Coturnix japonica: one gene and its partner. The protein of the gene in region 2 purifies or fractionates together with the protein of the main gene of each other region. This does not show direct contact. Links are inferred from orthologs where the notes say so. Each region holds a gene or a part of one and is shown on either strand. Other genes may lie near its edges.

Region 1 (16,889 bases), on a different chromosome or scaffold from region 2:
AAACAAATGGTTTTCAAGAATAAATGCCAATTGCAATAAAATGCAAAATAACGTTTTCCCAGAAGACTTTTTAACACTAATTTTTAACTTTGTTTTTTGGAATCACTGGGAAAGAGGCAATGTTCCTAATCTGTCTATGGCCAATAATCATTTACACAGGGGACAACTGAGGTTAAAAATAAGAATACTAAAGCAGATGGGAAACTACCTGAAAGAGCATTGTGTTCCATATGCATAAGCATGAAAGCCTGGAGACCAACCTGGCCACCCTCCCCCATGCCACAAGTGAACTACAAATGGGAAGCAAATTTTAGAGAGTGAATTCAGAGAACACTGATCATTTACAAATCCCTTTTTCTTGTTGAAATCTATACCTGTACATCTACTCCTGGGCTGGGTGATCACAAACAGTTCTTCCCAGATTCTCAGAACTTAAAAGATACCCTACATTTCTTAACCAGTTTGAAATCGCAAAGCTTGAAAATTTCAGGATAGGGAACTATAGAAGTGTATTTTATATCTATTGGCTTGTCCTGGTTTGTTTTGGGGCTCTTTTTTTTAACATTAAGCACTCCAAGCACTGCAGAGATCACAGCTTCTATAAGAGTTCAAAGGGAGCGATATTCAATGCGAGGTTAATAAGTCTGTTGGCTATATTAAAGAGCAACACCAGGAAAAGAGGAGTTCTGAAAAGAAAGCAGAGGTTAATGGCTGAAGATCTACAGGGTCTACCATTCCTTTTAGCACCTAAAATATATTGCTTGTATTGGAACCTTGTGAACATGACACAGAATTCCTGCCATCAACTTTGATAAAGAATATCCACTTGCAGATGTCAGGCATCTCTAATCTTCTGCATGCCTGATTGTGTGATGGATGTCATCCAAAGGAGTCCAGAAATAACAACCCCACTAACATGCATCTCCCTTGTGAGCTTTGGACAAGTGCCTTCAATCACCAAATCCCGTGTCCTACTTCCGCCAGCAATACACACCATGCAATTCCTCTCAGAACTTCAGTAAACTACATTCTGGGGGCAACACAAGCTTGAAAACAACATCTTTCCTCTTCTCTCCTCTGTTGTATTAATCTCATGCCTATTCCCTGCAGCTAAAAATAGCAATCATCTTTCCAAGCTGCAATCACACGCTTCATTTCCCAAATCATTTTAAATGCTCTCTTCTGTTCCACTTTGCAATCAACTTTCCTGAAAACGGATGATCAGAACAGCAGTTTTCCAACTGAAGTCTCACAAGTGCCTATGCTGAGATATTAACATTTCCCTAACTAGCAGAAAAGCCTATACTGATACATCCTTCGAGTGCCTCACTATAATCATGCCTGCGTCACACCAGCACTTCATAGTCAATCTGTGATCAGCTACTCAGCCAGGATCCTTCTCTTCCTCAATCATTTGCAACTGATGATTACTCAGCTTACAACTTAATTCTCTATTAGTCCCCAAATGACCTCGCAAGCAGCACTTCTGCACTGCATTCCACCCCTATTACTGCAGTCCTCAAGTTCATCTTGCTGTGCAGTTCTTCAATCCTCTCAACTCATAACACCCCAAATTATGTTATTCGCAAATTTTATCAACATACTTTTATCATTTGCTTTGCACATTGAAGCAGTTACTGAAGATAAAAATGTATGTTTTTATAGCAACAGTAACTCAAGCCAACTGTGCCAGCATGTGCTATTTCTAATTTCCATTTTTCTCATTATTCCTCATTGAACGACCAAAGAAGAGCTGTGATGTTGTGTATGTGTGCGTGCAGCAATCTCTTCTATTTCCAATCTTCTGTTGGGAAACTGAAGTTGCCATAGCCCTGTGAGAGTTGAAATTCACCACTCTTAAGGAAACATGTAAAGCCATTTCGCTACTGTTAATGCTCTCTGGAAATGACTTTTATCCCACACATACAGTAGGGAGAACAAAAGTTGCAAGATGGGATTTTCCCCTGGGACAGCCACATGTTGAGGGTTTTCCTGTCATTCCTCAGTATTAGTTTTCCACTTATTTTAGGCATCAAAACGAAGATTAAAAGAGAACATAATACAGTGCGAGGGGCTTTCTGTGCCATCTTGAGATACAGACAAATCTTTTAATGCAGGGAAATCTCTCATTCTACATTGTTACAGGATCCTCTGTTAAATTATATGTTTTAAGAGCTTCCATTACAAGTAGGTTTTAACTCCTTTAAATCAGATCTTGCATTAAGTAAAGGATATTGAAAAGATAAAACATACCCTAGAATGAGATGAACAGCACAGTAACAAAGAAATGAAAGATTTAGGCCTATCAGCTCCATCAAATATAGAGCTGCATAACATGGTTCATGGATTAGCCTATATATAGCATACCTGCCCATGTCACTGAGAATCCAGGAATATAAGCTTGGTTAAAACACTGAGACTGAGAACAACAACAAAAATCAGTGGTTTTTTTTTATCCCCTTCTTTAAATACACACCTGAGCAAAACTGCAAACACAGAAAGCTGCAGCTATCTCTGGAAAGTCAGTTAAAAGAAAAATAACCTGTTTCCTGCTTACATAGCAAAACATGTTTCTAGCAAAACATTTTTCCTCCTTTCAATATGACTTCACCAGACATTCTGCTTCTAGAGTCCCAAGAATGAGAGACAGCACATGATACCCAAAGTTGATACATTCTTGGACTTCTGGATCACAATTCTCAGATTAAATTATCTGAATGGATTCTTGATTCTCTCTGTATCTGATTTCTGTATTGCACACGTAAAAAGGAGAGAGATGCATGGAGAAAGGAAATGAAAGGAATAGTAATAGCACAAGCTCCTGTAGACAGCATATATTCTCACTGAGAAAGACAGAAACCTAACTACAATCTTCAGCCCAGAAAAGCTCAGGGGCATTTTATTGACATGTATAAATACCTTGTGGGAGTGAATGAACACGATGGAGCCAGGTTCTCTTCAGCAACAAATTAAAAACTATGAAACTCAATGTTAAAATAGGAAAGAGCCTTTACAGTGTGGGCAGTTAAACACTGAACCACCAACACAGTTCTGGATAATCTGTTTCAGCTCACTGTTTAAGCAAGGGGGGGGTAACAAGATGGTGTCAAGAGGTATCTTCCAACCAAAATGATTTTGTGCTTCTGCAAAATAAAAAAACACCAGCCCTTACACTAAGGTTGCTATTATGAGCTCTTACCTTTGAGTGCTGAATCCCTTTTAAGATTTATGGTGTTTAATCCCTGCTTTCTTACACTTCTCCTTCCACTTGCTGGGTACTCTGTGCTGCAGCCATGCTTGTTAGAAAGTTGCTCTGAAATATCTAAGCCAACATCACTGTCCTTTTTGGTCAGCATTTGAGATCTCACATCACCATTTGCATTCCTACTACTCAATCTTCCCAGCTCATTTCTGTAACATTTGGCATCTTCATTAGTCAGATCAGGGAATTTTTTTATTACATCCGAGTCTGCTTGACATTTCAAGCCTAAACAATGTTCTGAAGCAAGCCAGGAAGGCTTCTGCTTACCAGAACTATCTTGAAGATTCTCTCTTCCTTGGGAAGATGAGTGTAACCAAGAAGGAATTGCACTTGCAGAATCAGACAATTTTCGTCCTGTAAGTTTTTCCATTTGCCCACTCAAAGGAAGCTCATCATCAGACTGATCACGATCAATAACCTCTCCTACTGTCACACTTTCTTTTGTATCTTTTATACAAATGTGAGATGGCAACACTTCTAGATCATCCTCTAACTCGGATAAGTTTTCCTTAGTCAAGTTGACTGTGTTCACCTTATCCTCAAGATGATTTTCTTCTAGCAGAGATTCTGAGTTTATTGGTGTATGGTTTGTCTGTAAGCATTCAAAATGCAGGTCCACTTCTTCGTCTGTCACTGCAGTTGCATTTTCTTCTTTACTTTCATATGAAGAACAGGTTATATCCTGCTTGCATTCTGCAAGGTCAATCGTAGTGCCAAGGTCAATGACATCTCCACAGGCTCTTTCCAATTCACCATCAAATACAAGGTTCTCATCGACATATAATTTCACCTTCTTTGCTCCAACATCAAGGTCCTGGAAAAACAAAGGTATGGATATTTCAAATAAATTGTTCAAATATTAGATATCACTGTTCTGATGAAAACAATAAAAAGCTCATATCAGTAACACACTTATAACCACTTCTTAAATGAAAAGTTCAAATAAGTATAAACTACTTTGGGATTTTTAAGAATGTATTTAAGAAGATCAACCATGCTGCTACACATGACTATAAATCATTCTGGCTGACATCTAGGAAATAAACACATTTAGAAAAGCTTGAGCAAAGACACCTAGGTTAAATATAGTTATTCTGGATCAAGATGTAAATTCCAGAGGTAGATTTTGCTTCAGTGTCTTTAAGAATCACCACTTATTTATCACGTACACTACAGAGTGAACAGTTACCCACCTGATTTAAGGACTTACAGAAATACAAGGCTGGAAAGGATATTAAAATTCTCATTCACCTCCTAGCACTTAAGGAAGTAAAATAACCAATACCTTAGCAAATAAATCTGTTTTTAATAGTTTTCAAATAAGACAACTTTATGCCTTGATAGCCTATTTAAACACTTAACTAGCCTTATAAATAAAAGGCCTTTATGTCAGACAGCTCCATAAGATTGTTTTCTGTGGCACCCATTGAAAGCCTGATTTTATTATTCACTTGAACCTGGAATTAATATACTCTGTTCTACCCTTCTGAGCTTTGAGTTGCTTAGTGATCAAACTTGAGGAAGAAAACCTCCAAAAATATTTTTTTTCTACTTTCCAATTCAAAATCTAAAGCTCAAATATTTTCAACTGAACACAAATAGTGGCCTGAATTATTCTTCCACCTGTTTTTTTGAAGTAGTAGATGGGCACCTCTCCCTTATGTGGTTTCTGAGGTAAGGTTTGGCAAAAACGAGTACCCCAAAAGAGGATACAATACAGCTCAAGATTAACATTAGCAGAAATAAAACATATCTAATCACATTTTAGTTTTTGTTATTTCTCAGACAATATTTCCTCATGAAAATTATAGAATTATGCAGAACTGCTTTGTATTATTCTTTCACATACGAATGATGTATATTTAGACCATGTGTACTGCAGGACTGCTGCTGAAGTGTGAGGTATGCTCCTAATGGATCTTACAATTTGCTTTATAGAGGTTTATTAAAAAAATCATTGCCTTGCAATACGCAAATATGTTCCTGCATATTTCCCATATTACACTCAATAGGCTCAGTAACAAATTCATACTATTACCTCCAAAACCAGTAGTCCCTTTCACAGCCTCTAACTGTGATGAAAAATTATGTAGCCTACATTTTAATAGTAAAAAGCTGTTACAACTCCAGAAAATGAATATACATCATGTTATAGTAAACTTCTTTAAGCTGCTCATTCCACAGTCATTTCTGTATGTATAAATTACCATATATGCTTATATAAGAACATAGATGAGAAGAAAACCAGAGAGTTAAAGCCTCTTATTGATAATCCAGAGCAGCAAATCCTCTTGGATTCAGTACCTGGGTTGTTGTTTTTATTTTTTTTTTCCTCCTCAACACTGCAGTGTACAAACAAGAATAATTTCCATGGTAACATTCAAACACACAAACAGGAGACCATCTGCCATCAGATGTCTCTCTAGTAACATCAGATCACTGGTTATTTTATGTACACGTAGTTAGTAGACTTCTTAATTAAAATAATAACTCTTGAACTGATCAACATTCAGCTTGTTTATACCTATATACACAAGCAACCAAGCATTTTTGTTTAAATATATAGTGATAAAAACTACAAATGCTGAACACTAAAATGCACTTACCCTGCTGTCTCTTTATTTCTCAGTAGAGGACTACCTGACAGAAGATGCAACCCTTTTATTAGGCTTGCAAAACATACATAAATGTTAACACTGCCTATGAACAGGTTAACATTTACATCTACCTCAAACAATCAACAACAGAAGCAGAAATGTACAGTAGACATGGGCACCTCCACGCTCCATATTTTATCAGAGAAAACACCTACTTTTATTTTATACTTCAGAGTAAAGATCAAACTGCAGTTTGTATAGAAAAAGGAGAGCACACATACAAAAGGAGGTGAGAAAAGATTACTTACACTACTTGTTCTGCTGTAATTCCAAATCTTGATCTTGGATACACCAAAGTCATGGGATCGGGTGGGATTGCGGATAATAAAGTAAAGTTGGATGGGTGGATGGAAAGGGCACATCCAAGGGACGCATTCCTTCCTGGTCTAAAAACACATACAAGCAGATTGTCACCAATCCTCTTTCCTCTGAAACAGGATATTTTGATTGATTTACCATCCCACAGGAAAAAAAAAAAATCAATTAGAAAAGTAATCATATAATAAAATCAGCTATATTAAAAGCAAAGCATTAACCTCATTCCCAAACAATAAATCTGACTCTCCAGCCTGGAAGACAGCTCACAACCTGACAATTAGATAAAGGTCAGCTGCTTGCTATCCCAGAGAGACATCTGCACGCTCACAAATGACAGGCAGTCTGCCATGCTTTGTAACTGCAGGGTCAATGCAAGCCCAGTTTATTTTAATCAAATTAATCAGCTTTGCAAGTGCTAAAGGGGATCACTGAGCAGAATGGACACTGTCTAATCATTTCACAATTTCTTAAGAGTGCTTATGCTCCTATCTTACCATCTAACAAGGGAAATCTTACCAATTTTATTTCACCGCCTCTATCTCCTGCAGTCTTTACAGACAACTAATTTCACTTGCAGATCTATTCCTTAGAGCTACGTTTAGGATTCATGATAGAATAGAGCTTTGAACACAGATTTTACAGACAATTGGTTATGGTAGGCATAGACAGTTTAAAGTACCAAGTAAGCTCAGGACATTGCTAAAAAGTGCTGTCTATTCATGTTTAGAGGAAAAAAAGTAGAAATACATGTCAGAGAAGAAAGGAGTTTTGGAATCAAAACATTGAATGTTAGTATACTTGACACCAAATGTTAGCCAATCACAGAAATAAATGAGGGCAAAACAAATACACATGCAAGCAACGTTTTGGTGATCTCAGATTAGTAGATACATTTCCACTCATTCTATTTTCAAGGATTCACAGAACATACACAGTGTACATAAAGTTTGTCTTTTGTTGAAATCAACCTGTCTACTCATTCTTCCATGGTCCTTCTCTAGGTAAAAGCATAACAAGGGAACAGATGCAAAGAAGTGAATTCCAGTCTTGAGTTTACTGAGACTTACACTAAGCATCTGAAACAAGAAGGTAGCAGCGATGCTCCTATGCCTTCAGATCACAAGAACTAATTAAATTAACAGCAGACATACTTTGAGAATGTGAAATTCCCTATCCTTAAGGCTGTGATTTCTTTTCCTGCAAATACCATAATTACAACAGCCTAAAAAATGTGTTCCTTCACCCAAGATAATATCAAAGTATTAACACATAAAAAACACAGTTAAACACACCTGTCTCCAGTTGCTCAGTTAACAAAGTCAAGCAAATTAATCAAATCATAAAACACTTTAACTGAATAGAAACATCTTGGATGTGAAAACTGGACTTGTTAATTCAAAATGCAATCATGCAACCAAACAAGAAACTTTGTAATGGAATAGTAAACATTATAAACAGAAGTTGACATATCCAGGACTGTCATCTTACATGCAAGTTCTTATTGACCAAGCAGCACAAATCCCCTGGGTAGTCAGCATTTCGAACATCCACATCGTGAGGTGACACAAATATCTTTTTGTTGTATAAATCAAAGAATTCCACCTCTCTCAAGCCAATGTTTATTGGATTTCCCCAGTTAGAAAGAAGCTCCACAGTCACATAAATGGCATCACGTACTTCCACGTTTGTTGTCATCTGGACCCAAGTGAAATACAGTATACACATAAGTGACAACAATAAAATCTGCAGCAATATAAAGACTGTTAAGACTTCAGTGATGTCAATTCAGAAGAAAAAAGCCTGTAAATTCAGAACACAAGCTTCCTGATATTTGATGTCTTGGCTCCCACAGCATGCAAGAGCCCAAAGGGCAGAAACAGCAACACAACTTTTACATCTCTTTGCCAATAAGAAGTTCAAGAGAATCAGACCACAAGGAAACAAGTAGGAGAGGGAATTTACATAAGATCTCTGAAATCAACTTTTGCTGAAACATCTGGGCTTTCTCACACACTAGATGATTCACCTTGATGATTAATAAAGGATCTTTATCCTTACTAACAAATAAGCACCTGTTTTAATATGAAAATTGTTTAGGTGTATTAAAAGCATGAATTAGCAGAAACCACTAAACTAAAACAGGTCTTCAATCAAGAAGCATGTAATACAGAAACAGCTGTAGCAGTAATTATGGGCTAAAGAGGTCCCATTATGTTCTGTTCTTCTTCAAAGACTACAAGAATTAAATCGTATAAAGAACCTACCTATAAGACAGACTTGCTTTCTTACATCTTCAAGAAGGCTGTAATCTATGAAGGTGATAAATTCTCTTACCCTGCCACAAGGTAATGCTGACCATTCAATACATTTGTATTTCAATAGTACTTGGAGTTATAGCGCATATATATACAGACCTTCTCTGTCAAAACACAATCTGCTTCCAATTTTTCATCAGATAGGAGTATGCCATTATCACAGGTAGAAGTGCTCTCAGTCTCCTGAAGAAATTCCAGAAGTTTCTCCTGTTGTCTGAAACACATGTTCTTTTGTATTTCCTTTTAATTCTTCCATTTTTGAGAAATGGTTTTGTTGGTGTGAAGGTGACAGAATGAACCCATACACCCCACAGAACAACTTAGGTACCCCATGTTGAACAACAGCTGTCACAACATCCCACACCAGATAAACACAGTCTGTTTAAAAGACCACACTCCAGTTCTCTGCTAGATATGAGGCAGTTTGAGAAAGTAATTCAAAATAATATGAGCAGAGGTAATATAAACTATTGGCAGTTCCCTGATTAACAGCTACTAGTCCAAGGCTAGAGCCCTCTCAAAAATATTAGCCAATACTTGCCCTTGGGCATTTAAGGCCATTGGACAAAGTGGTGCTCAGTATGGAAAAAATATCCCCTTAGATAGGAAGTTAGAGAGGAAATAGATATACCTGTTTCCAAAAGGACAAGTGCTCTCTACATCTTTTGTGACAGCAGTCTTTGCCTGGTTTTTTTCTGAAGGTTCAACCATTGCAGAGAGAACAGATGAAACAGAGAACATCTAAGTAAGAAAGAAAAAACCACAAACATTTCATTCACATCATTTTCTATATACCAGTGAGATCAGTCTGCACCTCCAGAATAGATGAGTTCAGGCTAACTTCTGGGCTCTGCTAACCTTAGTTAATCTGTATCTCTATGAACAGAGTTAAGCAGAATTGGTCTTAATTTGCAACGAAAGGGCTGAGCTTGATCTCCTATGTGGAACAAAGGGTAAAATAAAAGCATTCTGTAACAACTATATGTGTATACAGAATATAACTATATATACACACACATATATATTAAAATACACTATGTATATGTACCACATGTTTTGAATTTGCCTAAAATATTATGGTTTTTGTAGGACACAGAGCTAGCCAAGGCATTGACACAGTTCTGCCTGGACTTTCTCATTCCCCTCCTCCAAGGAAGGAGGATGAAGATTTTTAACCCCCCCCCCAAAAAAATCTCAGTTTTATTAAAATAAAATCAGATATTCTTGAGTTTTTGGAAATACAGAACTGTCATAGCAATTGAACACAGGAGGTGTTCAGGGCCAGTTTGGATGGGGCCCTGGGCAACCTGGTCTGTTATTAAATGTAGAGGTTGGTGACCATGCCTGCTGTGGGAGCAGTGGAGTTTGATGATCCTCAAGGTCCCTTCCAACCCAAGCCATTCTGTAATTCAATTACGTAAGGGATAAAAACCAACAGAGGACAAGTCTTGTCATTTTTTATGACAAAACAAATTCTCTCCCTGTTTGCATCCCACCTTCTAAGCACATCTGCACAAATCCGATTTTTAACTTAAAAGGGAACAATGGCCTGACCTGAAGGGAGTAGACTTTTTTAATTTCCTTGTTTATAAAGTTTTTAATTGCTTTTAAATGTGCTTATTGGAGATAAAAGATATACACACACTGCACATGCTGAGCATGTATTATTAACAAGAAACTGTGCTCGTATTAACAAATATAGTAAGATGGTAGGAAATATTGGCAAGGAAATCACATATCTTGTTTAGGAAGCTTTCAGAATGAAAATGGCTCAAATGGGCCTACAGCTGAGCACTTGACTGTGTAGACATATCACACGAGTGAGCTATCAGTTGCTCAGTGATCCCTGAAAGCAAGAGAAAGCTGTGGGGTGGTATCCAAGGAGCCAGATTTAAAAAACACCCACACCCTATGGAAGTAATACAAATCCAATTACAATTGAGATATCACTGTTTATTCTACAATTGTGTAAGAATTAACTATTATAATTCGTGTTCAAGGAAACCCTCTTTTCTCCTTATTGAAGAAACACTTGTTTTTCTTTCTTGCCATACCTTTTGAGGGCTTGTGGAAACTGACTGGCTTTGCAAATCTCTCTGCAAGGCTTCATTTTCAATTTGCATAGCTTTAACCACAGCTGAAACAGAGAGTTCAGAGTCCTTTTCACACTCATTCTTTCGAGCTGCTGAAAGTGGTCTTTCTGGTCGACTTAATGGTCCTGCCATGAAAAAGCACAAAGGAATAGCCATTTGTACAGACAAACAAGCATGGAATATTCAACAGCACACATCTGAAACATCCAATTCTGTTACTAGTACAGTGCTACACTAACTAAACAGTAACGAACTAAAGCAAGGTTAAACTGCTCCAATTTGTTTTTCCATCTACCCTAAATAACAGATGGAACTGCATCACAAAAGAAGCAAAACTGAAAAACGGCAAATGGGATTTTTATGCATTAAAAATGTAGTTGATTTTTTCAGACGTTTACTGGGAATGCTTTGCAACAGCTAATTGAAATAAAAGTACATATAATTTCAGCCCACCAACATTTTTCAATGTAACTGGAGTATTCAGCTATTCTGGGAAATCCCAAGATTCTTCTGGTAAAAATCAAGAGACTCAGACATTGATACTTGCAGCATAAGATAAATGACCTTATGAACTTGCACCCATCTTCCCAAACATGACAGAAAAACAGAAGCATCACAGCCTGGAAAAAAGTTTAAAGGAGAGGAGACTTAAAATCTAAAAGCATCAACTTTGGCCATGGGAAATTTCAGTTCCTTTCTTTCTACAGATGCATTGTGTTCAAAGCTTTCAACTAAGCATGAATTCCTGATCTTAAGACACACTTCTGCTAATGCTATAAAGAACAGAAATCCATCAGAGAAATGGAAAGGAGCAAATATAAGGACCAAAACGAGAGGAGGAAATCTTATGGTATAGAAGCAAAAAGAGAAGAAAGTTAACAAAGACACAGCACAGACTCAAGTGTGCAAGCTCTGGATTTTTTCCTCACAATCCTACTTAAGTCTGAATTCTTGAAGTGCTAAAAAAATAATAATAAAAGGTTAAAAAAAATATTATAATGACAGATGAAATTACACATGAATCAGATTGGAAAACAAAATCATTAACATCTTCTTTACTGACATATATTCATATTCCTTACTATGGCAAATTCTTTCCTGCCTGTCTGGCTGCAAGGACTCAGCAGAGAGCGGTCGATTGATTTTATTTTTTACCACAACTGGTCTGACAGGAATGTACATTTCAGCATTATCTTTTCTTTTGGCTGAAAGAACTCGCACTGGCTTCAATTCTGTAAGATAAGGAAACAGAAAAATCAACTTCAGAGATCATCAGAAGTAGCAAGACAGGAATTATTATTGTACCTTAAATGCTAACGTTTTGCCACTTTAATTATGCTGGCATAGGTAAAATGATAACCACCATCTTCCTTTCCTTTTACTGATGCAGTTCTATATTCTATTCATATGCATAGCCTCAACCAACTTAGCGATGAAATACATCACCATAAGGTAGGTCAGGTCATTAGACCAATGTATCTTAACAGGGGCAGGTATTTCCAAGCACTGCTGACCAGAAGAGCAAAAATAAGCAAGAAACCCTGAGTCACTCGTTAATGCAGTTGTGTCAAAATTATTCCTGAGGCATAGACTAAAAGGAAATGATCATTCAGTTCATAGAAGTACTTATCTGCTCTTACTTCTGGGGGTGAGGGGATAAGCCACGTACTCACGTTCTCACTGCCACCACATCCCTTACTCCCTTAATTACATGACAGATGAAGAAAGAAGCAGCTATAGTAAGCCTAACCTCACTATGATACAATGCCAGGGGAAAAGAAAAAGCTTAGCCTGATGTTGTTTCTCTGAGACAAGCCAAAGGAGTTTCAGAAGGAAAGCCAACCTGAGAAAAGGATGTCGGATAGCAGAAACGAAGAGAGATTACAGAGAAAATGAGTGAAGACAGGAGTTAGACACCAGCACAAGTTTTAGGTGGCATTGCTAAGGAGCTATTTTTCTGCTGCAGTAGAAAGCAAATATCTGTGCTAACAAGAACAAAGAACCATCAAGTGAAACAATCGGCGTTAACGAGGATGCAATAGAAGATATGAATTTCTGAGTGAGAAACTATGATTTTTAATCAGTGGAAAAGGTAGCTGAGAAGAACTGAAATACCATTGAGTAAAGCCAAACAGTACCCAGAAGTCATCCACAGAAGTGCTAGGTCTAGTGCTGTATAAGTTCAGGCTGGGTGACTGAGTCATTCACTGTGGTTTATGTGATTACACCAAAGCTGGACCTAAAGCCTGTCTACCACACAGTCAGCAGTGTTCTGCTTCTGCTTTCTGTATCAGAAGCAAGCACATTTATCTGTCAAAACCAGTTAAATCTCCCTGCATATTACTATCAATACAAAATAATACAGATACCAGTTGGATGGTGGTTATTTTTTCCCCATCTCAAACCTGAAAACTGAACACCTGGGGCCTATCAGAGGGGTTGAAACTTGTTACTAAATTCTTGAGGGAACAGCTAGCCCAGGAAGCTGGAGCCCCAGCTGAAAGCTGATGTAGCTGTCAACACTGAGAAGCTGTATGTGCCTACAACCTCAATTGTCTCCTAGCAAACAGCATAGCAAATCCCAGTGTACAGCTCCCTTGGGTATAACAGCATCCCTAATGGGTCAGAACAAATAACCAGCTATGGTAAGATCTTTTCTCTGACAGCAGTGAGCAGCAGAAGCACAGGGAAAATATGAAATATACAGCGTATTCTTCACGAGGCTGAAGTCTGCATTTAATTCAAACTAAAAATGAACTTGCTAGCTAGTACTTTGTAACATCTACTAATTAAGGCATTAATGTATTTGAACTTCTAAACATCCCATGGCAATAATTTTTTGTATTTATACATAAAGAAACCATAGGATGCCTATCCATGTATACAAACAATGTTGTACTCGTGAATTTAATTATATTCAGGCCTGACATAGACCCTGGGACTACAAGAAGGTTGTTTCTTGTAGCTTACTAAATTCCAAATGTACTTTAAGAAGAATTATTTCTATAAGGACATACAGTAAAAGGGCTGCCCTGGTCAGAAGTCTACCCAAAGGCAAAAACACAAACTTGGTTTGCTCTTTACCAAGGAAGGAGGTGATTAGAATGCACGATTATTAAAAAGAAGCAAGGACATTATCCAGGTATGACACCTTTCCAGCACATAACTGTGAACATTGGTATTGCAAATTATGGCTCAGATTTGTACTGATTATCTTTGAGAGCATTGCTTTGAAGATATATCAAAGAACTTTAACAACAGAGGCTTACTACTTTGATCCTGCTTGTACTCCAATGCAGTAGAGGCACCAGAAACCAGGCTAGAGCATCTTCCAGTATCCTGGCTTTCAGAAGCTTCTTTCTGCATAGATCCACTGCTCTGCAACTGAAGGCTTGCAAAGCTTGTAATTGTTTCTTCAGTAGGAGATGGTTCTGAAAACAATTCCTCTTCAATGAAGTCATAATCCTCACTAGAAGATTCTTCTTCCATCTTTTCCTCTTCTACACTGAGTTGCAAACTGCTTTTCAGCTTCTGACACAATTCAGACAAACAAATCTGTCAGGAAAACTCAAATATTTATTTTAAAATAAACCCACGTGGCTGCCTTTTCCTCTGAGATATCAGATGGTGCTAAAAATACTCAGATTTCCATGTTATATTTTCACTTCCCTGGTGAGGACGTTTAAAGAAAAAACATCCTACATCTCCTGTGTTTCTTCTCATTAGAAGCCCTTGCAGGAAAATTCTATAGACTAAGAAATAAGGAGGTGAAGGAGCCTTGGCACAGGCTGCCCACAGGCTGTGGGATCCCCTCCCTGGAGGTCTTCAAGATCTGCCTGGATGTGGGCACCCTGCTGGGAGCAGAGGGACCCTGAGGTCCTTTTCACCATCAACTACTCTGTGATTCTGCAACAATAACTCCTTTGTACGTAACTTAACGTATGGCAATGCTCCTGTAGACATCTATACTTGAAGAGCAAAAAACAACAGTAGAAAAGACTTACAGTCCAGTGAATTGAGCTTCCAGGTTGTGAAGAAATTTAATTAGACCCGTTGTAACAAGATTTCATGCTAAAAATTCAACTATTAATTTACTACTGAATAAACTGCCCAGCTTCACTCAGCAAATGCCACAACCACATAGAAGATGCTGGAGAGCCTTTCATTTTTATAACTGTCAAAGGAAAAGATCTTGTCTGTCCTAAATCTATTTTTCCTACTGTTGCTGATACCACTTTGAGAGAAGTAAGCAAACTGCAGGAGTAAAATAAAACTCAGAGCTATCTTAGACACAAATGAACTGTGACAGCGTACATTTAGTGTGTAATGAAAGCTGCACGCTGCTCTCCTGTTACAGATTAGCCTTGTTAGGAAAACCACGTTGACAGAAACATACTACAAAGAGAAAGCAAATTCAGGTTCAAGAAAGGGTCTACAAACAACCTCAAGCTTGATACTGAGCATGTCTTAACGACAGGCAAAGCTAATATTTCTATTTGACAGGGAATCTTATGAGTTTGCTTTTAAGCTTAAAACATCACAGCAGCTGCATTGTAAGACAGTTCAGAGAACAAAGTTCAGCTTCAGGAATGCCAAACATATTTCCAGCTGGGATATAAAAAAAACTGGGTTTTGTCTCAATATTAAATTTAAAAGCTTGTTACTTACACAAAGAATTATAAAAACTTGTCACTGAAAGCAAGTTACGGCTTTGCAGAGTGGCAAGTAAAATCATAAGCCCAAAAGCAATACAGAAAATGTAGAAATGCAGGATAATGGAAATAGCCTGCTTTTCTATCATTCCACTGGAATACAAGCACATGGAATACACATACGCTCCACCAATGTATTTAAGACATGTCTAACTTAAATATAAAGGTTTAAAAACATCGAGAGATTAGGGAGCTTTTACAATGCAACTTGCTCTATTCAAATCTTCTGTTACAGGAGCTTTGAATTCCCAGTTCATAAAATTAACTTTCACTTCTTAAATACTGTGTTACTTCCCATTCCAAATATAGTCAGCTTAGCAATTTCTGGACTAAAAACAGTTGCTCATTTTCCATGACAGCATGTGCTGGGCCAGGGCACACAGAGAGGAAAGGCAAGGGGGTAGTGGAAGGAGAAGGCGGCCACAGTGGTAATGGATTTAATTGTTTGCTAATTAGGATGATAGTTGATTTAGTACAAACAACTTAACCAGTAACAATAATCCATGGGATACATCAAAATGAAAGCTGATATTGAACCTCTGAAAACACAAGCTAGGGAAGCACACTTGAAATTCATCAGCAACTGCTAATTGTACCTGAGAGTAATGGAGAGGATCATCACTATTTCTCTCCATGCTCACACTTTCATAAGGTTCAAAATCCTCAGAGTACTCAAGAGGAGGTTTAATGCAGAGTTTGGTTCCTCTTTCTGTTTTAATCTCCACAGATTTCTGTTAAAACATGCAAAATAATTTGTTGGTTTTTTTCTTGCTATCAGCAATACAATAATCAATAAACATATTTCCCATAATAGCTAAGTCAAGCAATCTCTTCCTCAGCTGTTCCATGGAGGAGATCACATCCAGCACATGGCTTACGTCTGGCATCAGAGTGGGGAGAAAAAAAGATAGGAAAAGGGACATAGCAATCAACAAAGCAGATACAGTTAAACCCCTTAAAACACAGGAATATAAAGAAGTGTTTGCAGAATAGCCTCAAGGGGAAGGCTCTAAAGTTTGCTCAGGAAACTGGCACACTTGGGTGCCTCCTTGAAATACCTCTGTACTAATGGAAAACAAACACATGGGCAACAAACAAGAGGAGTTACAAGTGTGTCATAAGAAACAGTTCAAAGATGCTTTACTTCAAGCTGTTTCTTACCTGAAGCCATCCTTTGCGCTGTATTTTGCTTGGTGCAGTCTGTGTACTGTGCACTTCCAATTCACTTGCTTTTAGCTGAGATGCTGTTCCAGAAAACGAAGACAAGAATTAGAAGACAAAAGAGAAATACAGTATTTAAGGATACACATAGCCATTACTCCCCTTCAGCTGAGGAGAAAAGGGCATGATTCTGATACAAGAACAGGAATAACAATTAGAAAGGCATTCCAAACACTGGCTGGTTGTGTACTAGTGACAAGAGTGCTGAATCTCTTTAGGGATTACTACTACTGTGTGTTCAAGACAATAAATTGTCTTGACAAAAAGACAAGGCTACATAAACAGCATGCAAAGCCCCACATTCATTGATA
Region 2 (16,889 bases):
CTGACCTGAATACAATATTGCAATGCAGATCAGGTGTAGAGGTTTTCTAGCTATAAGTATCCAACTACCTCTTGCATTCAAAAGCCAGTGCTTCATCTCATGGCAGTGATCTGTTTGTTACAACCTGGAGTTGATGGTAATGAATTTCCCTTGACTTATAACAAACTTAGAAGCCAGGTGTTGGCTGATGCATGCAGCTGTGCATTTTATCCCAGTTGCATGGAGAAAGGTCCTCGAGAGGAGACATAATATCATACATACAGATGTTCATAAGAGAGACAGTGTTATTTTCTGTTACCTAATTGCAGGTGTCCCTGGGTCCATGCCCAATGCGTCATGGGAAGGTGTCCTGAAAGCAGTGAAGTGGATTGACAAGGAAGACATTAATGGAGGTTGTCATGGTAATGTGTATATTCTTCCTCAGTTCTTCTTATTCATCTAGTGGAAAAACTTGACTTTTTCCAGTAGCCCTATGTAATGCAAGTCAGTCCTTAAGCAGCAGTTTATCAGAGATAAGACATTGCAAGGATCTTCCTTTGTCCTTAGGTAGTGGATAACAGTAGCCACATAAAACTCAGAAATTATGCTTATTATTTACTCATAAGTAACTTCCTTTATGTCTTTCTGTTGTTTGTACTTATTCACACTGTGTGCAGACACCTTTTAGGCTGTGGTGTAGATTTGTAGTGGTTTTGCAGATAAAACTTGTCCAAAGAAAGTTCTGGATCCTTAAGCATGCCTGTAGAAAGAAATCCAGGTTCTGACATTTCTTATCTGTCTCTTTTTAATTTGGCAGGCCATTATGTCAGAGGAATTTGTGTATATGGAACAGGTGACCTCAAGTGGCTTTTCAACTCCACCTGTATGTTTGCAAATAAGTTTGAGCTCAGAACATACCCGCTGATTGTGGAGTGCCTGGAGCTGAGACATCGAAAGAGGACCTTGGCACAGAGTGAAGTTGAAGTGGAACCAAACTGGTATTTCTAGCTAGTGAAAATCCAGGATGCATCAACAAAAGTGGTCAGAATTACAGCAAAAATCGAAGTTCTGCTTTGCTGGAAGCACACATTTATCCAGCAGGTTTCTTTAGGATGTGAGATAGGTGCAGCTCAGGTAAGTAGAAAGGTAACAAGTCACAGTGAGCCAGACATTAAAAACAGGAACACAATTGGTGGCCATACATGCAGCTGCTGCTTAGTCAAAGATAGAGGAATTAAGTGCACCAGGGAATTAATGGAAATAGAAGGAAGATGTTATGCTGCCTGGGTTTTAACTGTTCTTTAAACATCTGTTGGTTCCAGGTTTGTAGGAGAACACAGCACTTCTTTGCTATGTGAATAGTTGTGAATAGAACTGATAGGCTTTCAGGCACAGGAGCTTTTCATGAAAGATAAGGGCTTACTTATTTGTTTTACTTGGCCAACTAATAGAGCTGGAAACTGACTGCCACGCAGACTTTTGGCCTGCCAGTGTCATGTTTTGATACGGATTGGGCTTTTTTTCCAAGTTTACTTCTTTTTGAGTGGTTAACACAGACTTAACATTGAGGCCTGTATTTCTTTCCCGTTTACAGCCGCTAGAGGGAGGCTGTCAAATAGCTGATCTGATTCTCCTCCCTAAGTCTATTTAACCCTTCAGCATACTAGGAAAGTTGCAGAGGGGTCAGTCACTGAGCATCAAGTTAACTACCACCTTCATTAAACCACTGTTAACTTCAAGCGTCCTTTAACGGCGTTACTGTTGTTCAGCAAATAAACCCTTTAGTTCTCATTGTGCGACTGTTCTTTGGGGCATACCGCCTGCCTCAGCAGCTTCCTCACTTTAACAACAGGGAGGTGAGAGGGGGAAAAATAGAACTTGCGGGCAGCCAAGCCCATGAAATACACCCAGATCAGCGGCCCTAACAGACTCGGCCGGTAGCACCGCCCGAGGCCGGAACTCCGTGAGGCGCCGCTCCGCCCCGCAGCACGCCGGGAAGCGCGGCGACAAGGTCAGTGCGGGCCGGTGGCCAACGGCCCCTTTACCATTACAACTACCAGCCGCCGGCGGAGGGGCACCGCAGATGGAGTACGACTGGGTCGGCTTCGGGTATGCGGCGCTTTTGGCCTACGGGGGCATCATGGGCTACGTCAAGGCAGGTAGGACCGCTGTTTGTGCTGGGGAAGGGTCGGGTTTGGAGTGTGGGGTTCTGCCCTTTAAAGGGGCTGGCTGCCTGCTTGAGCGGAGGCAGGGCTGCGAAGTATCTTATTAGTTGAAAACTAAATACGAGCTGTGATGTTTCTTGCTTTCTTTCTTGAAGGCAGCGTCCCGTCCCTTTCTGCCGGCCTTTTCTTTGGTGGCCTGGCAGGACTGGGTGCGTACCAGCAGTCCAAAGACCCGAAAAACATATGGCTTTCCCTTGGTAAGTGCTTGGTGCCTTAAGTATTAAGCCTGACTGTAGGCAGTTCGAGCAGTGCCGGTTAGTGTAGCCTGTTCCAACTGACTTGTGTCCCTTTATGTATACAAGCACTGTATACGAGGGCTGCCTGCTCATAGTAGGGAAGTATTTGTGCCAGAACACCACCAGCTCCTTATTGTGTTGTCTCTTGTGGCTACGCTGGGTGACAGCTGTGTATCCCCACTGCCAGGTGAGGCACTGTGTTAAATTAATTCAGGCACAGGGGGCTCGTGTGGAAAACCAGCTGCAAAGGAGCGTTGTGAGCATAAGAAAATGTACACTGTGGAAGGGAGTGTGAAATCTACAAAATAAAGGAGGGAATGAGCTGTTCTCTATTGCTTGTCCCACTTCTGTTGCTTACAATAGATGGGACAAGAAGCTGTGGGCTTAGCTTGCAGCAGACCTTTTAAGGGAAGCAAAACAACATAAAACAGTAGTGGAAGGTGTTGGGAAATACTGGAAGAGATCAGGTGAACCTAAGAGAGCTTCTGTTGCTTCAGGGCTTCAGTAACTAGTCAGGCCAGTGCTGGTGAGGAGCTGGTCACACCTGTGTGCTCTAGGCTGACCTCTTACAGCTCTGCAACCACATCAAAGCATTATTAGCATTCTGGTGTTAGAGGGATTTAAGGCTGCTTACAAACAGCAGGTCATGCAGTGTGCTGAAGGGTTTTGTGCGATCCCTGGCAAACACTAAAGAGGACTGTGTGGTGAGTAGAAAATGAGGTGCAACACATGGCTCTACATGAAGCACAGCTTCTGTTTGTGGTGTGTAGTAGGAATGGCCATGCATCTCCTGCACCAGTTTTTAGTCAGTGTAGTGAGAGAGATAAGTTGCCTCTGTACTTCCTGATTTTTGGACACAGAGGGTGTGAGGGTGTGAGACACTGGAACAGGTTGCCCAGAGAGGTTGTGAATGCTTCTTTCCCTTGAAGCATTCAAGGCCAGGCTGGATGGGGCTTTGAACAACCTGGTCTGGTGGAAGGTGTCCCTGCCTATAGCAGGGGGCTGGAACTGGATGTTCTTAGAGGCCCCTTCCAACCCAAACCATTCTATGATCAGTCCATGATTTTATTTTCTGCATCCTCCTGTGATTTGCAGCTGAGGTAGAATAGTTGCTTTTGAAAGGAGGCGAGACATATAGACCTGTTGGGACTGGTAGGTGCATAGCAGCATTGTAGTGCTGTGCTGGCTCTTCAGACCTACTTCCCTGCAACCATTCTGACTGGGCTTCTCTTTTATCAGTGGCATCTGGAACCTTGTCTGCTATCATGGGGATGAGATATTACAACACCAGGAAACCAATGACTGGGATCGTTGCTGGTGCCAGGTACTCACATCTTGTGTTATTGTCTGTATTTTTTGAATAAGTGTTTTATTTAACTTACACACTGATTATATTGCATATAGTTCAAGAACATATATATCTCAAGAATATATTGCATATATTGTTCAAGAAACATTTAAATGTTGCACTGAGGGATGTGGTTTAGTGAGAAATATGGGTGGTAAGTAGACAGTTGGTCTGGATCATCTTGGAGGAGGTTTTTACCAACCTTGGTCATTCTGTGATCCAGTCTTTTAAATATTACATGGTAAGTTGTGTGGAAAAATGAAATCTTCTCCCTATCAAAATGAATTGGAATGTTTTCTTCTGTGGTGTTCTTTGAGAATTTCCCCCCATCCTTCCCTTTTGTTTCTTCTTTCCTTCTTCCTTTCTTCTAACAAATATTCTGTTTAACAGTTTACTGATGGTTGGACGACTTGGCTTGATGATGATGGAAAAGCCACTCGGGCCATAAGTGAACATCACACCACCTGAAGATACGTGACTAAGAAGCCTGCAACTGCCGCTGCCTGAACGCACTATATAAAAAACATAACAGACACTGCTGTCTATGCACTGTTTTTCATATTCTTATGCATATCTCTTTAAATGAGAGAAATTGAGAGCCCTTGTTATGTCTTCCAAAGTGGTATTTGTCTCAACAGCTGCACTATGAAGCAGGAAAATGAGTGTAGGATTAGTTCAGCTTCTGGTCCTGCTTTTTCCTGTATGTAAAAGCCTCTTGTCCCTTGCGGGCAGACAGTTGCAGGAATGAAGCTTACATATACATCTGGACTTGTCCTTCTAAAACTCATTAGACTGCTGAAACAATGGGACTCAGGTTGGACTAGATGATCTTGGAGGTCTTTTCCAACATAGATGATTCTAAATTGCCAACTTATCATTAGTATTTCCTATAACATATGAGCTTTTTGTCACCTTCCCCTCCCACTTCCCTGCTACCATATCTGGTCATCATGTTGTCAGTCAGGGACTTTGTTTTTCTAGCACTGTGTTAGAACCTTGGCCTAAAAACAATCATGGAGCAGGGGGTTGATTTTCTACTGTAATGCCACGAAAGTAAACCTGTTACTTGAGATTATTTATAACCAAAAGTGCCCAACTGAATGTAATCAATTTGACTTCTAGAGACTATTTTTTGTAAGAAAAATAAAAAATACGCTTCATTAGGTAAGGCTGAATTGCAGTCGTAGCACTTGCATTTAACGAGAATTAAAATGTTACTTTAAATAAACCAGCCAATGTATTATTATGACAAACTTGCCTTCTATACAACTAGTTTTATTAAATCATTCATCTGGACTGACCCACTTAGTGCCTTTTCTGTAGGGCAGCTGGATGTATCTGTGAGCATGAATTGACTAAGTTATCCCTGTTCCATTCCCTGGACACGACAGGGACTCATAAAGTGAACTGGGCAGGTGGGAGCCAGAAGAAGCAGCATGCAGTCTATATAAGAAAACTAGTATTACATTAAAATCTAATTTTGATTTTTGAGAGAAATCTTCTATTTCAGACTTGAAAGACACTCTGAAAGTTTATTTAAAGACTGAAGGGCTCAGATGTTTCTCTGAGAAGTGCTCTGTTGCCTGAACTCATTCTAAATATAAACTTAGGGTGCAGAAATAATCCTGGGAGCTACACATGGATGGTAACGTATCCCTTTTCTGGTCTGGTTACCTCATGCCTGTTTTTGCACAGGACCTGAGCTTCGATTTCTTCTGCCTTTGTTTTGATGGCTGATACTGTAAGAGACTGAAGCAGGTGGGTTGATCTGTTGGAGTAGTAAGGCTCAGGAGCCACATTTGCTCAGAGTTCTCTAAACATTTGGCCACTCAGCAGGAGTGTGACATCTTGTGGTTTGTTTCCTTTTTACTTTTTCTCCCTCTTTTTCTTCCCTTCTCGTTAGATAATTTTAGTTGTTGGACACAGATGGGGAAAATCACCTGTCAGGTAGCAGCTGGTTTCCTCACAGGAGAAAGTGATCCAGGAGCAAAACAGGCAGCACATTTACCTCACTGAGAACTGCGTGGTCTCACGCTACCTGAGGAAGTAATGCAGGTCAAGACAATAGCAGTAGCTGAGGGCTGCTGACACTGGTCTGTCGCAGTAATGAGGCAGTATCAGAGGTGAGCCACAACATCAGCAAGTTGGGTTCCAGGCAGCAGGGATGTGGCTGGCCACAAGCAGAGCTGCACCAAGGACCAAGAGCAGGGGTCCTGGCTGCACTGCAGCTATGGAACCAAGCTGCCAACAGGCAGCCTGGTCCCATGCCACACAACTTGGGTTAATGCTGGCCTCGAGCATATGTAGTGAGAGCTAAGGGGAAGCTGCATTCATGGTCCTGGCAGCATCTTTGTAAAGCTCTCAACCAGAACTATTTTAGAAAGCATGAGGGTGGTTTTCATTGCCATAGGCAGTTACAGATATGCTTAAGTGGCATATAAGTATCTCTTAGTACTAGTAGAGTGACAGGTACCTGAGACAAAACCAATAGTAATTGAACTCAATTTTTTAGTGTGTTACTAACCAGATCTCTATAAATCACCTCTAGTATTAAAGTAATGCTAGTGCTTCAGTTTAAACTGACTTCTAATAAGCAATATAGCCCAAGTATTGTGGCACATCAGGTCAACAACAGAAACTGAAAATTTTATATGCAGTTAAAACAATCATACAACTACTTCTCTTTTTACAGTGCCTAAAGTAATAACTACTAGCTTCACACCTTTAAAGAACGTACTCGTTTTGTATTTTAAAATGTCAGATTTAATACTACTAAGTCCAAAACATCTATTCTAAACCCAGCTGTGAACAGAAGTAGCCTAGATCAACATAAAAAAAATATATTTATTGTACATTGGGAAATCCTTTGCAAGATATTACTCTAAAACTTAGCATAGGTATCAAGGAAAAGTATGAAACAAGCATATAAACATTGAGGTATTGCATTATTAAAGCTTGTGTGTGTTGTTGGGTACTTAAGCTGGCCTTCAAGATCTAAAGCAGAATGTAACCTCTTTGAAAAGCAGCTTTATTTCCTCCCTCACATAATTCATGTGACCTCTTTAAGTTGCAGAGAAGCCTGTAGCTTAGTAGTGTCATCACCCAGTAAGATGCTTACCAACTGCTTATGCCTTTTTAGGCTAATTCACCATTAGAACAGCTGATGAGACTGCAGATATTTGGATTCCTTAAGACAGTGCTGTGATACACCTCTGGCAAGGGAAATGTGAATCCCTGCAGATCAACTGAAAATGGACATAAGATAATTCTAACAGTAGAGCCTCGGTTTAAGCTTCACTACAGTTTGGTGAGGTAACTGCAGCATTCAGTACTTGCTTAGCTGCTTTCCAGTGTTGCTACTGCCACACATTTTCAGATCTTCAATGTGCAGTTTGTTAGCATAGCGTTGATGTCCTGCTACAAAGGAGTTCTCATTGCATTTATACACTGCAGACCCTGAGCAACTCTTTAGGTACAGGTGAGTTCTGAAATCTTTGTAGGATGCTGGTGTTCTTCACAAAGCCCAGGCTGTGCTTTCACTGTCATGTTTCCAGGAAGGAACCAGAGTATCAGCTGGGAGCCTGGTGCTGCTCTGCTTTAGCCCCAGTTCAAGCTGTTTGCATACATGAAAGCAGCTTATGTCAATGGTGGACTTTGCATAGGGCAAAGTACTCTAGCAGTTGTTTTCTAAGATAGTTCTAAGTTGTTTTCTGTTGATAGGAAGTCCTCTATAGAGAAATGTCAGGTGAAATCTACTTCTCATTACTTTTAAATACATTTGGCAAGATGTGTTGTACAATACTTTATGAAATCCCACTTCATAGCCAGTATTTTAAACGTTATGTGACTTCATTTTTTGTGCATAGGTAGTAGAACACAAGGTTGGCTGGTTGTTCTTACCTTTACTATTGCAAAGTCTTAGGAATGAGTAGAGCAAAGAGGCATTTCAGGCTTCTTGTGCAGGAGAACTGAACAAAGCTCACACAATACCTACACAGGATGGCATTTTCTATCTGTGTCCTCCATATTTAGCCATCCAGTCTGTTCTTCCATGTACTGGCTGAACTGTTGGTGCGTGAGTTAAAATATTCATGTTTTTTGCTGAATTGTAAGTAGGACCTGCTAACTGAGCACGAGCAGCTTTGGTTTTCCAGGAATAATCTGAAAGGAACAAGAACTTAGAATTAATGGTAACTACAGTAGTTAAAATAATAATACCAAAGGTACAGAGCAACCCAATAGGGCTAGTAAAGAACAGAGCAATTCATTTTAATACAGTGCATGTGCTATATCTGTAACATCATTTGTGAATTTACTGAGTCACCTAAGGGGGAGGTATTTACCTTTTTTGAAGTTTCTTAGACCACTATAGGCATGGTTCAACATCATTCAATCACATTAAATAGCATTATAAAGACTCAGGACTGCCACATGCTACAAGGAAGTCTCTGTCAAGAAAATGCCTCTAAACCCATTTAACTCTGATGTTGATGTTGCTTAAACCTGAACATATCTACTTTCCATCCTAGTGTTGAGAAAAACTTACATGTGTATGCTAAGATGTATCTTACCAGATACAGATGGACCAATAGGAGCTAGTTGTATCCGTTGTCCAGCTGATCCAACTTCTTTCTTATGAAAGGAAGGGATGTATCCTCCTGATGGGTTGTAAGTAGCACCTCCCACAAAGTCAGAATTTCCTGTTGATATTAAAACCTCCTGTAATATTTTTAGTTGCATTCATAAAATCTGCATTTTTTTTGGTAGTCATTTCAAAACATAGTTGAATGATCACACGACTAATGAGTATTGTTCTGCCTCAGTGCTTGTCTGGGGGTAAGAAGTAGATATCCTTTCACTTGCATCTTAATTGGACCTTTTCAAAGGCCTAACAAACTCTACAAGTATGTATACTCCAGTACATCCACTCCTATAGTGCAGCAGGGATGAAGATAGAGTGGTATGACAGTTAATTAATATTTCCATTAAACTTAGATTACATAGCAAGAGTTTTACATATCCTTGAGTTTTAGAACAACACAGGGTCTTACCTTTTATTTACTGGAAGCAGGTTTAAGCACTTACATATTTGAAAGTCAACATGCTCTTGTGCTCAACATATTTGACTTAGATCTAAAATGGAACCAAAACTCCTCTTGTGTTAAGTGGTGGTACACTACTAGAAGCTGACTTAGCCAGTTCCCTGGTTAAAGGCCTGCTACAAAAGACCTGGTTCCCCTCTTTTGAAGCCTGATATTTTGTTTTGCTTGGCTTTTACCCCAACTTTCTTTAAGGCAGTGTTGCCTTGGGAATATTGACATAATCACCCTTTCCGTTCTGTCATTTGGAAGCTGAGAAATATTGTGTATTTACACACAGAACTGTTACTGAAATTACTGTACAGTGGTGTGGAAACAATTAAGATACTTAGACTGCTCCAAGAAGATTTCCTATTTATCTTCTCCATACTTGTCATTGCACAGACAGTCTTAAAAACCTGTGTGATGGCACAACATTTGAAGAGAAGGCCTTTATTTTGCTTCAATATCAAGTAACGTTAAATTTTTGTGAACTACAGCCATACCTGATAGTTTGACCTTTACCACTTATGAACACTTGAATCATCTTAACCTTCAGGATGGTTCCAACAGTAGTTAGTAAAATATACAGTGTGTGATTTGACAGAGTTTGTTCTTTTTCCAAATCACCAGCCCCATTGCAATCCCAAAGTATTCCTCACACTAACACCTTCAGTCGTCAGTGCTAATGTCAGAACTAGTGCAGTGGATTCATAAGATACAGAATTGGTTATCTACAAACCACAAATGTATGCTGAGCTTGTTACAAGCTGTGTTGGGTCATCACATACCTCCTCTTTGGGAACTAAGAGTAAGCATTCAGCTGAAGATTTACCCATATCCCCAAAGTCCTGTCAACAACTGAGACTCCAGGTGGCTTCCCTTTCTACAGCTGATGCCAGTCTCCAGTGGAGTAAAGGATGACACACAAGTCCTGATGAAAAATAAAGCTTTAATAAAGTACTCAAATAATAACATCCTTAGAGTCACAAGTTCTTCTTTTTCACAGATTTGCCTGAAAAACAAAAAGCAACAGTTTTAGCGTTACATTCCCTTGTCTGCATACAAATGCATGCATTTATTTGTCCCTACTTCCTAATCTTTTCACTAGGAACACTTCACAAGGTATAATTCTGATCTGTCAGAGGATATCTTAACATTCTGAGGCCTAGAAGTAAGAACATGGCAGGCCTAAATGTAACCTCAAAACGACTTATTCTGCCTGTTTCTTATCTACAGCTCTGCAAAAATACCTGTTAAAAATTTCTCAACCATTTTTCTCTTCCTCTTACCTCTTCATTTTTGATGTTCTTCATGAGCTTTTCAGCAGAAAATGGATAAGCACAGCCAGAGGAACAGTCTGGGTGAAACTGAGAGGTCTGAAGGAACTGTCTTTTCCTTGGATAGAAGAACAATAGGAAATTCAGTGCAAAATTATGACTGCTAACATTTAAAAAACACGCATTGAGAAGTACACAGTAGGTTGTTCCTTACCTCTGGCAACTGCTATGCAGAACAGAAGTTCTTGCTGTAGAAGTCCATCAGGCATCAAGAAGGTCCAGCAGCAGATGTGTACACAAACACAGTGCCAGCAAGCTTAAGCATGGCCTGGGCAGTATACCTCAGTGCATGCCTGACTCTTCTCAAGGGATGAAGCCATTGAAGCGTTCAAGCTGGGCAGTAAGTTGAGAACAAACTACAAGTAGTTGCAAAGGGATACAGTACACACCTCAGCTGCCAGAAATGGAGGAATAGGTGAAGCATTCCAGCTTTACAATGCTTGTAGTGAGGAGTGTGTTTATATCTAAACACAACTGCCTGGAAACCTGAGTTTTCACCTGTTTACACTGAGGTTAATGACCTAAATCTCTGCAATCACAGTACTGTAAACTCAGTGTAATTAGCAAAGAATGAGAATGCAGTCGGTGGTGCAAGTGGCAAACAATACTATGAGTGAGCAGTCCTTCAGAGATACACGTGTCTCTCCTTTAGGATCAGTTCTTCTCCAGAAGAAAAGTTATGAAGTCTCTTCATGGAACATTCAGATGTCATTTAAAAGGAACTTGAAAGCATACTTGTGATCACTTCATTCTCTCAGATTTCAAAGAGCGTACTGACACAATTCAGGTTAGCCTGAATGAGTTAATCTACATGTAATGGGAAATGACTTGCCCTCCTTCAGCATAACACCATTTAGATGCAGATTCAGAAGTGAAACAAATAGACCTTACTTATGTGGATAACTTTTACTTGAGTTCATCCAGGTGACTACTCCAAAGAATAAAATTCAAGGTGGAAGCTGTTTTTCACACTGTGTTACACTGTGGTAACTGAGATAGACCTCTGTTATTTCCCTGCTGCTGGAGGAGTTGCTACAGCTTAACTGATAGGTGAGTGGACCCTGCTTTGACTAAAAGCAGGCACAACAAAGAAAGCAAAGTTTGACAAAACACATTACAACTGAAAACAAAGAATATGATCTTTTTGGAATCCTCACCATAGGTGTATTTTTTTGGAAACAATGCAAAACAAATATGAAATGTGCAAAGAGCCAGGTTATAATGGCTATAAATTACCTTTTGGATCCTCTAATTTTTCATTCAATCTTTCTTTGCATGATAGTTTTTCAATGGGTGTAATTAAGTTCTCTTCTGTAGATAAGGAGAACAAAAGAGAGAAAAAGATGGAAAGACAGAATTTTATACAGAGAAAGTAGATGAATCTGGTTAGGTGATACCAAAGAAATGAGGAAATGCAGATCAAGAAAGAATAGCTGACACTGAAGTATTTATAATCTCATACTCCTTTGTTTTTACAAGCAGGAAGTGTTACTTAAACTACATTTTGGTTCATTAGAAAGTAGCTAAAAAAAGTAAGTAGTTCACCAACAACGCAGTCACATTAAGTCACAAAAGCCTAAATCACAAGTTTAAGCATTCAGGTGTACTTGCTAAGTCAATGGATCATAGCTTTACCGTTCCTTACAAATAAAGCATTTGTAACTATCTGTTCTTATTCCACCCCAGAGCAGCATTGTGGGTATGGAAAAAATAAAAGCACCTGAAGAAACTAAACATAGTTATTTAAACACCAAGCAGCACAGTGTCAGCTTTCAATCCTGTCAGTTTGAAAAAGGACTACACACATCATACATGCACTATATTTCTCTGATCTGTGGTCCAACTATCAGTCTGTCCTATTGCATCACTCCAGCAGATCCTGTTACCTTTCCATTTCTTAAATCCTCTCCATCATTTTGGATGAACAACTTACACTTCACCTGACTTCCAAAAGGATAATAATGTTTTGATAACACTACTGGATGGCTACTAAAGTTCTGTTAAAAAGGCATGCAGCAGCTGCAAGTAAACAAGCCTTCTAAAGATCTTGTACAAACATATTAGGTCAGGCAGTGTAACGTTATAATGTGATGGAAAGTACAGCAACAGTAGCAGGGTGGCACAGTCCTAATCTAAAGCAAAAAAAGGATAAGACCAGATACAGCAGCCATGAATACAGAAACAAAGGGGAAAAAAAAGCTGCTTACCCTTACAAAAACTCAGGTAGGCAGAGATCTCCAATGAGATACCCTCACCTCCGCTGCTAATCTTTAAATGAGGTTTGGGAAGGCGTGGATCCTGGCTCCACCCCTTCTGGTCAAGCTCATTGCTTGCACCTGAGCTCCCCTGGGTTGGCCCTGCCTTCCCACCAGGTGCTCAATCACTGCTTCAGGCCCTGACTTAGCATTTCTGTTACAGATGGTCATTAGCATCAATGTTGGGAGTGACTCATGCTGGCTTCAAAGCTGTTAGGGTGATCTCCTATCAGAGGGTGATGGGACCAGCAGTGGTCAGAAGGTAGATTTTAGTCTCAAGTCCTATGCTTTCCGTAGTGAAATCTTAGATAAGCCATTTAACTTGTTTAAGCTTTAGCCTTCACTCTATAGAATGCTGATAACAGCATTTTCCACAAAAGGTAGTATAAAAAGCACCTTACTTTCTGCAAGGGACTTGCAGTAAGGGGACTTCTCATCTGCTAAATACATTAGGTAGTATTTTGATCACATGGGCTTAGCACCCAACACCTTGTTTGTTTTCATATGTGAGACTGCTGTTTTACAGTGTTCCGCATCACACTGACCAGGCAGTAGTGAGATTAAGCTATTTGCTTAAATAATCATAGTAAGATAATAAGTTTAAGAGGATTGCAGACAAAATTTATCTTGACAGAACTTTATTCTAAGAGCTAAACTGTACTTTCTTTATGCTCTGAAGGCAAAATACATAGCTTATCTAAGAAAATGTTATTTTGAGTCTGTATTTAAATGAAGAAAAATAAAGTTTTCCTATAAGCTAAAGCTGACAATAAAAGTTAAACTTTATTGTCTTAATTAAAGTATGATGAAAAACAAGGTGACAGCTTTTATTAGGCTTCTACCTGTATTATTTCTGTTGAAAGGCAATCCTTCTCCAACGTGTGCCAATGGCTTGGAAAACAGCTGGTTGTTCCAGTTTCCATGAGATCCTTCTTTATTGACTGCTACTAAGGAGACGGTCTTAGGATTTACGCCTTAGAAAACAAATTATGGCAAATGTTATTAATTTCCAAAGAACGATATCCATTGATTAGGTTATATTTCTCAAATTAATGTATCTAACTTTCAGTTGAGAACTGTTGTTTTTATGCATTCAAGAGAACTTCTCAAGTAGTTTTACTGCATCTACTTGGTGTCTATAAAATCATAACCTGATATTTATCGCTCTCAGACAGTTAGCAGAAATGAAAGAAACTGATTGAAAATAAAGGTTCTCAAGGCTAAAAATAAACTATTTCTTCAGGAGGACAAAAGTTCTTGTTACTTCAGCATGTTATGAGCATTAGTGAGTTAATGGGATTACACAGCATGAAAGCAGCTTATATATCTAGTGGTTACTATTAATTAACTATATTAATACCGATAAATAAAAAATATGCTTCTTGGAACTATTATTCTCTTAAGTGCAAAATATTTTTTAAACTACTATGCCATTCTCATTGAAACTTAATAAAAACAGAAGTATTATGAGCATGCATAAAAATGTCAGGTATGTAGATTAACTTCCTATTTGTCATTTTTAAATAGGAAAGCTTTTGTCCCCTCTTTTGGGCAAACTGTTGAGTCTTAGGGCATCCTATTAAGCGCTGAAGAAGTGATTTCGTACTTAGAAATCATCACTGTGCTAAAGAGAATTATCCAGTGTGAGATCTGAAGTTTAAATGTACTGTATATAGATAGTCGGCTGTTTGCATTTTCCATGACATGTTGACTTTTCCCCTTACCTGGCAGATATCTTGATTGTTTTAGATAGTACTGTTTTGCTGATGTATTGGTTCTTCCAGAATCGTTTCTCATCAGAACTTTATTTTCCACTCCCGGCTGGATACAATGAGAAGCTTTTGGTTCTGGCACACTGAAAAAGAAATAAATCAAAATGTTCAGGCTGTGTAACCAACAAGTCCACCTTAGAATGCCATGAGCTGAGGCTGGCTTAAGGATGCAGCGCTCTTTTCTTATCCTGCTTTCATCAGTAGACTTTATTTCCACAGAAAGCAACAGCTAAATCTCATACATCATAAGAGTTTTACATGAGAATATGAAAGGGGGGGGGGGGGAAGAAAAAAAAGATGTGTATATGTTATGTTGAATTAAAGGCAACTAAGCAACTGTGGCAGAACTTTCCCTAGCCTCACTGACACAGGAAATCAAGTACTACTTCAGTAAATCACTGTTTCTTAAAAACAAGATAGACACCTATGTTATAGATAGAATGTACAGATGTTACTGGTGCTACATCAATACTGCACTCAAAGCCGACCTGTTCACAAAGCCCTTTGCACTATTGCAGAGTTTCAGTGAGTTAAATTTTAGTAGACCTGTTTTAACCAATCTATAAATCTACTGGCCACTGTGTATTCAAAAACCTTTGTTAACAAGTGATTTTAGAATTACAGGACTTACCTAAAATGACATTCCTTGTTTTTCTTTTCTTTTAACAGTGCAATGCTAGGCTTCTTTGAGCATGACATTCCAAATTCAGCATCATCCAATTCATCCCAGCTGTCCACAGCCTTTATCAAAGTCTGACCCCATCGTCTCCTGCAACTTTTAGGACCCACTGTGCCATTCTGGGGGCCACTAGCCGCTTGTTTCTAGTTCAAATATAAAAATAAATAATAATAATAAAAAAAAAAAGATAAAAAATACAACTTTAATTAAAAGTTTAAATTCTAAGAAAGATTAAATTCTAAAACTTGATATTTTACATATAGTTCACTACTACCACTTAAGAACATTGAAGGATATATATATATATATATATATATACACTTCAATATATATATAAGCCATTGCGTTGTGCCTTTTTTTGGTCATAACCTTAATGATTTTAAGTACAAAATATATAACAAAGTTGGTAGGTATTTTGAGCGCAGCCCTTTTGGACGGCCAGCTTCAGATGGCTCAAATCTAGCTGATGTATTCAGTTAACATTCTGCTTACAGGCCCAGTTCAGCACTCAGCCTCTGTTTCTGGTATCTTGCTGAATTTGCCAGTGGAACAGTAATTGTCAGAAGCTAAAAATCTTACTTTTAAGATTATTATGAGCTTAGAAATTGCAAGGTCCATGTGATTCAAAGTATTGCTCAGTTTGCATCTATTCACTGGTAGCCAGCAGGTGGTAATCAAGGAAACAAATGACTAAAGGTAGCTTGCTCAGGTATTTTCCTGCTCTAGGCATTGAAAGTTCTTACCTTTTTTTTTTTGTGTATACTAACCAATGTTTTTGCAAATTGTTTCTCAAAGCTTAGTGAATGATTGTTATTATAACCACATTACCGCAACAATGCATTAGTAAAAGTTATTATAAAAGAACACAGATTGTTGTTACAAGGAACCCAGGTATGTCCAACCCATGGCCCAGCACAGCTCACAGTGCATCTACGCCAACCCCATGCCATCATGGTGGCAGCTCTTCCCTGCTGAGCAGCCTGGCCAAGCCCCAAGCATTTGCCCATCATTCAGCAGCCACCACAGTGCGCTGCTAATGCTCTTACAGATGAAACCAGAGCAAGGAAAGGGCACAGTGCAGTGCTAACTCCAGTTAAGACAAATAATTCTTAAGTGTTTTGGTACATTGGCTAAATACAGTCCTGTGAACAGAGAAAAAATATCTAGTCTTGCTTTCCATTTTGATGAAGGAAATTGAGAATTGGTTTCAAAATTGCTTTAAAATCAGTAATATGTATTTGTGACTCCATGTTCAGTTATCATAAATACATTACCTGCAAATTTTCTAGGGGCATGTATTGAGTGGCAACCAGATATTCAACTCCAAAATGCAATAATGTCTATCTCCCCAGAGACAGACATTCCTAGTTTCACAATCATGCCGTATTCATGTCATTGCTTTTGGGTGGTATGCACATTCACGAACAATTATTGTCAAGGCCAAAGTACAGGAGGAGTAAGATTTCATCCAAAATCTCTGATGAACACCTTGAGACCTCTCTGAGAATCACAAGCACTGCCATTGAATCAGCCTGATATGTAAGTTTCACAAAACCAGGGTAAACTACCCCAACAGACAACTTACCATGGATGAGTCTTTACTGATAGCTGGAAAAAATGGCTGTGCCTGTGGCTGCTGTTGTTTTGGTATTTGCTGGTTAGCTGTATTCTGAGGCAACTGAATTTGCTGGAGAGGCTGGTGGTTGGCCTTTGACAGGGACTGTGGCTGTGTTTTGTCAGGTTCATCAGGTGAAGACAAAGGTTCTGGCTTGGATACAGCTTCCAGTTTGGGTAAAGTTGGCTTTGGTTCTGTTGGCTGCACTGGTTTAATAGGAGTCTGCTTCTCCAAATATTGTGGAGGAGGTCCTAAAACTTGGCCAACTTGAAAGTATGGGTACTTCAGTGCCTAGAGAAGAAATAACATACTAACTGTACTTCAAAAAGTTGACTTTGGCAACTTCTTTGAGGATATGAGCA

The links.
Region 1: the proteins of MAK (region 2) and KIAA0556 purify together in Homo sapiens (affinity purification with mass spectrometry; 3 studies listed by BioGRID and IntAct, with this or other methods). This does not show direct contact. The link is inferred for Coturnix japonica from reciprocal best matches to the Homo sapiens genes MAK and KATNIP.

Annotation. Positions count from the first base shown.
Region 1 is NC_029529.1:10,577,644-10,594,532, forward strand, and holds part of KIAA0556 (protein KIAA0556 homolog), read right to left. Parts: intron 16,602-16,889; coding exon 16,519-16,601; intron 16,089-16,518; coding exon 15,954-16,088; intron 14,201-15,953; coding exon 13,915-14,200; intron 11,878-13,914; coding exon 11,728-11,877; intron 10,771-11,727; coding exon 10,607-10,770; intron 9,294-10,606; coding exon 9,184-9,293; intron 8,767-9,183; coding exon 8,652-8,766; intron 7,933-8,651; coding exon 7,726-7,932; intron 6,306-7,725; coding exon 6,168-6,305; intron 4,077-6,167; coding exon 3,200-4,076; intron 1-3,199. UniProt on the Homo sapiens protein: May influence the stability of microtubules (MT), possibly through interaction with the MT-severing katanin complex.
Region 2 is NC_029517.1:65,953,880-65,970,768, forward strand, and holds the end of MAK (serine/threonine-protein kinase MAK), read right to left. Parts: intron 16,819-16,889; coding exon 16,498-16,818; intron 15,056-16,497; coding exon 14,865-15,055; intron 14,317-14,864; coding exon 14,186-14,316; intron 13,436-14,185; coding exon 13,304-13,435; intron 11,518-13,303; coding exon 11,443-11,517; intron 10,540-11,442; coding exon of another isoform or gene 10,535-10,539; exon of another isoform or gene 8,543-10,534; intron 8,489-8,542; coding exon 8,360-8,488; intron 7,950-8,359; coding exon 7,798-7,949; 3' UTR 6,414-7,797; downstream 1-6,413. Other genes in the region: transmembrane protein 14C-like, read left to right, coding at 2,063-2,138, 2,300-2,401, 3,680-3,764, 4,179-4,236. UniProt on the Homo sapiens protein: Essential for the regulation of ciliary length and required for the long-term survival of photoreceptors. Phosphorylates FZR1 in a cell cycle-dependent manner. Plays a role in the transcriptional coactivation of AR.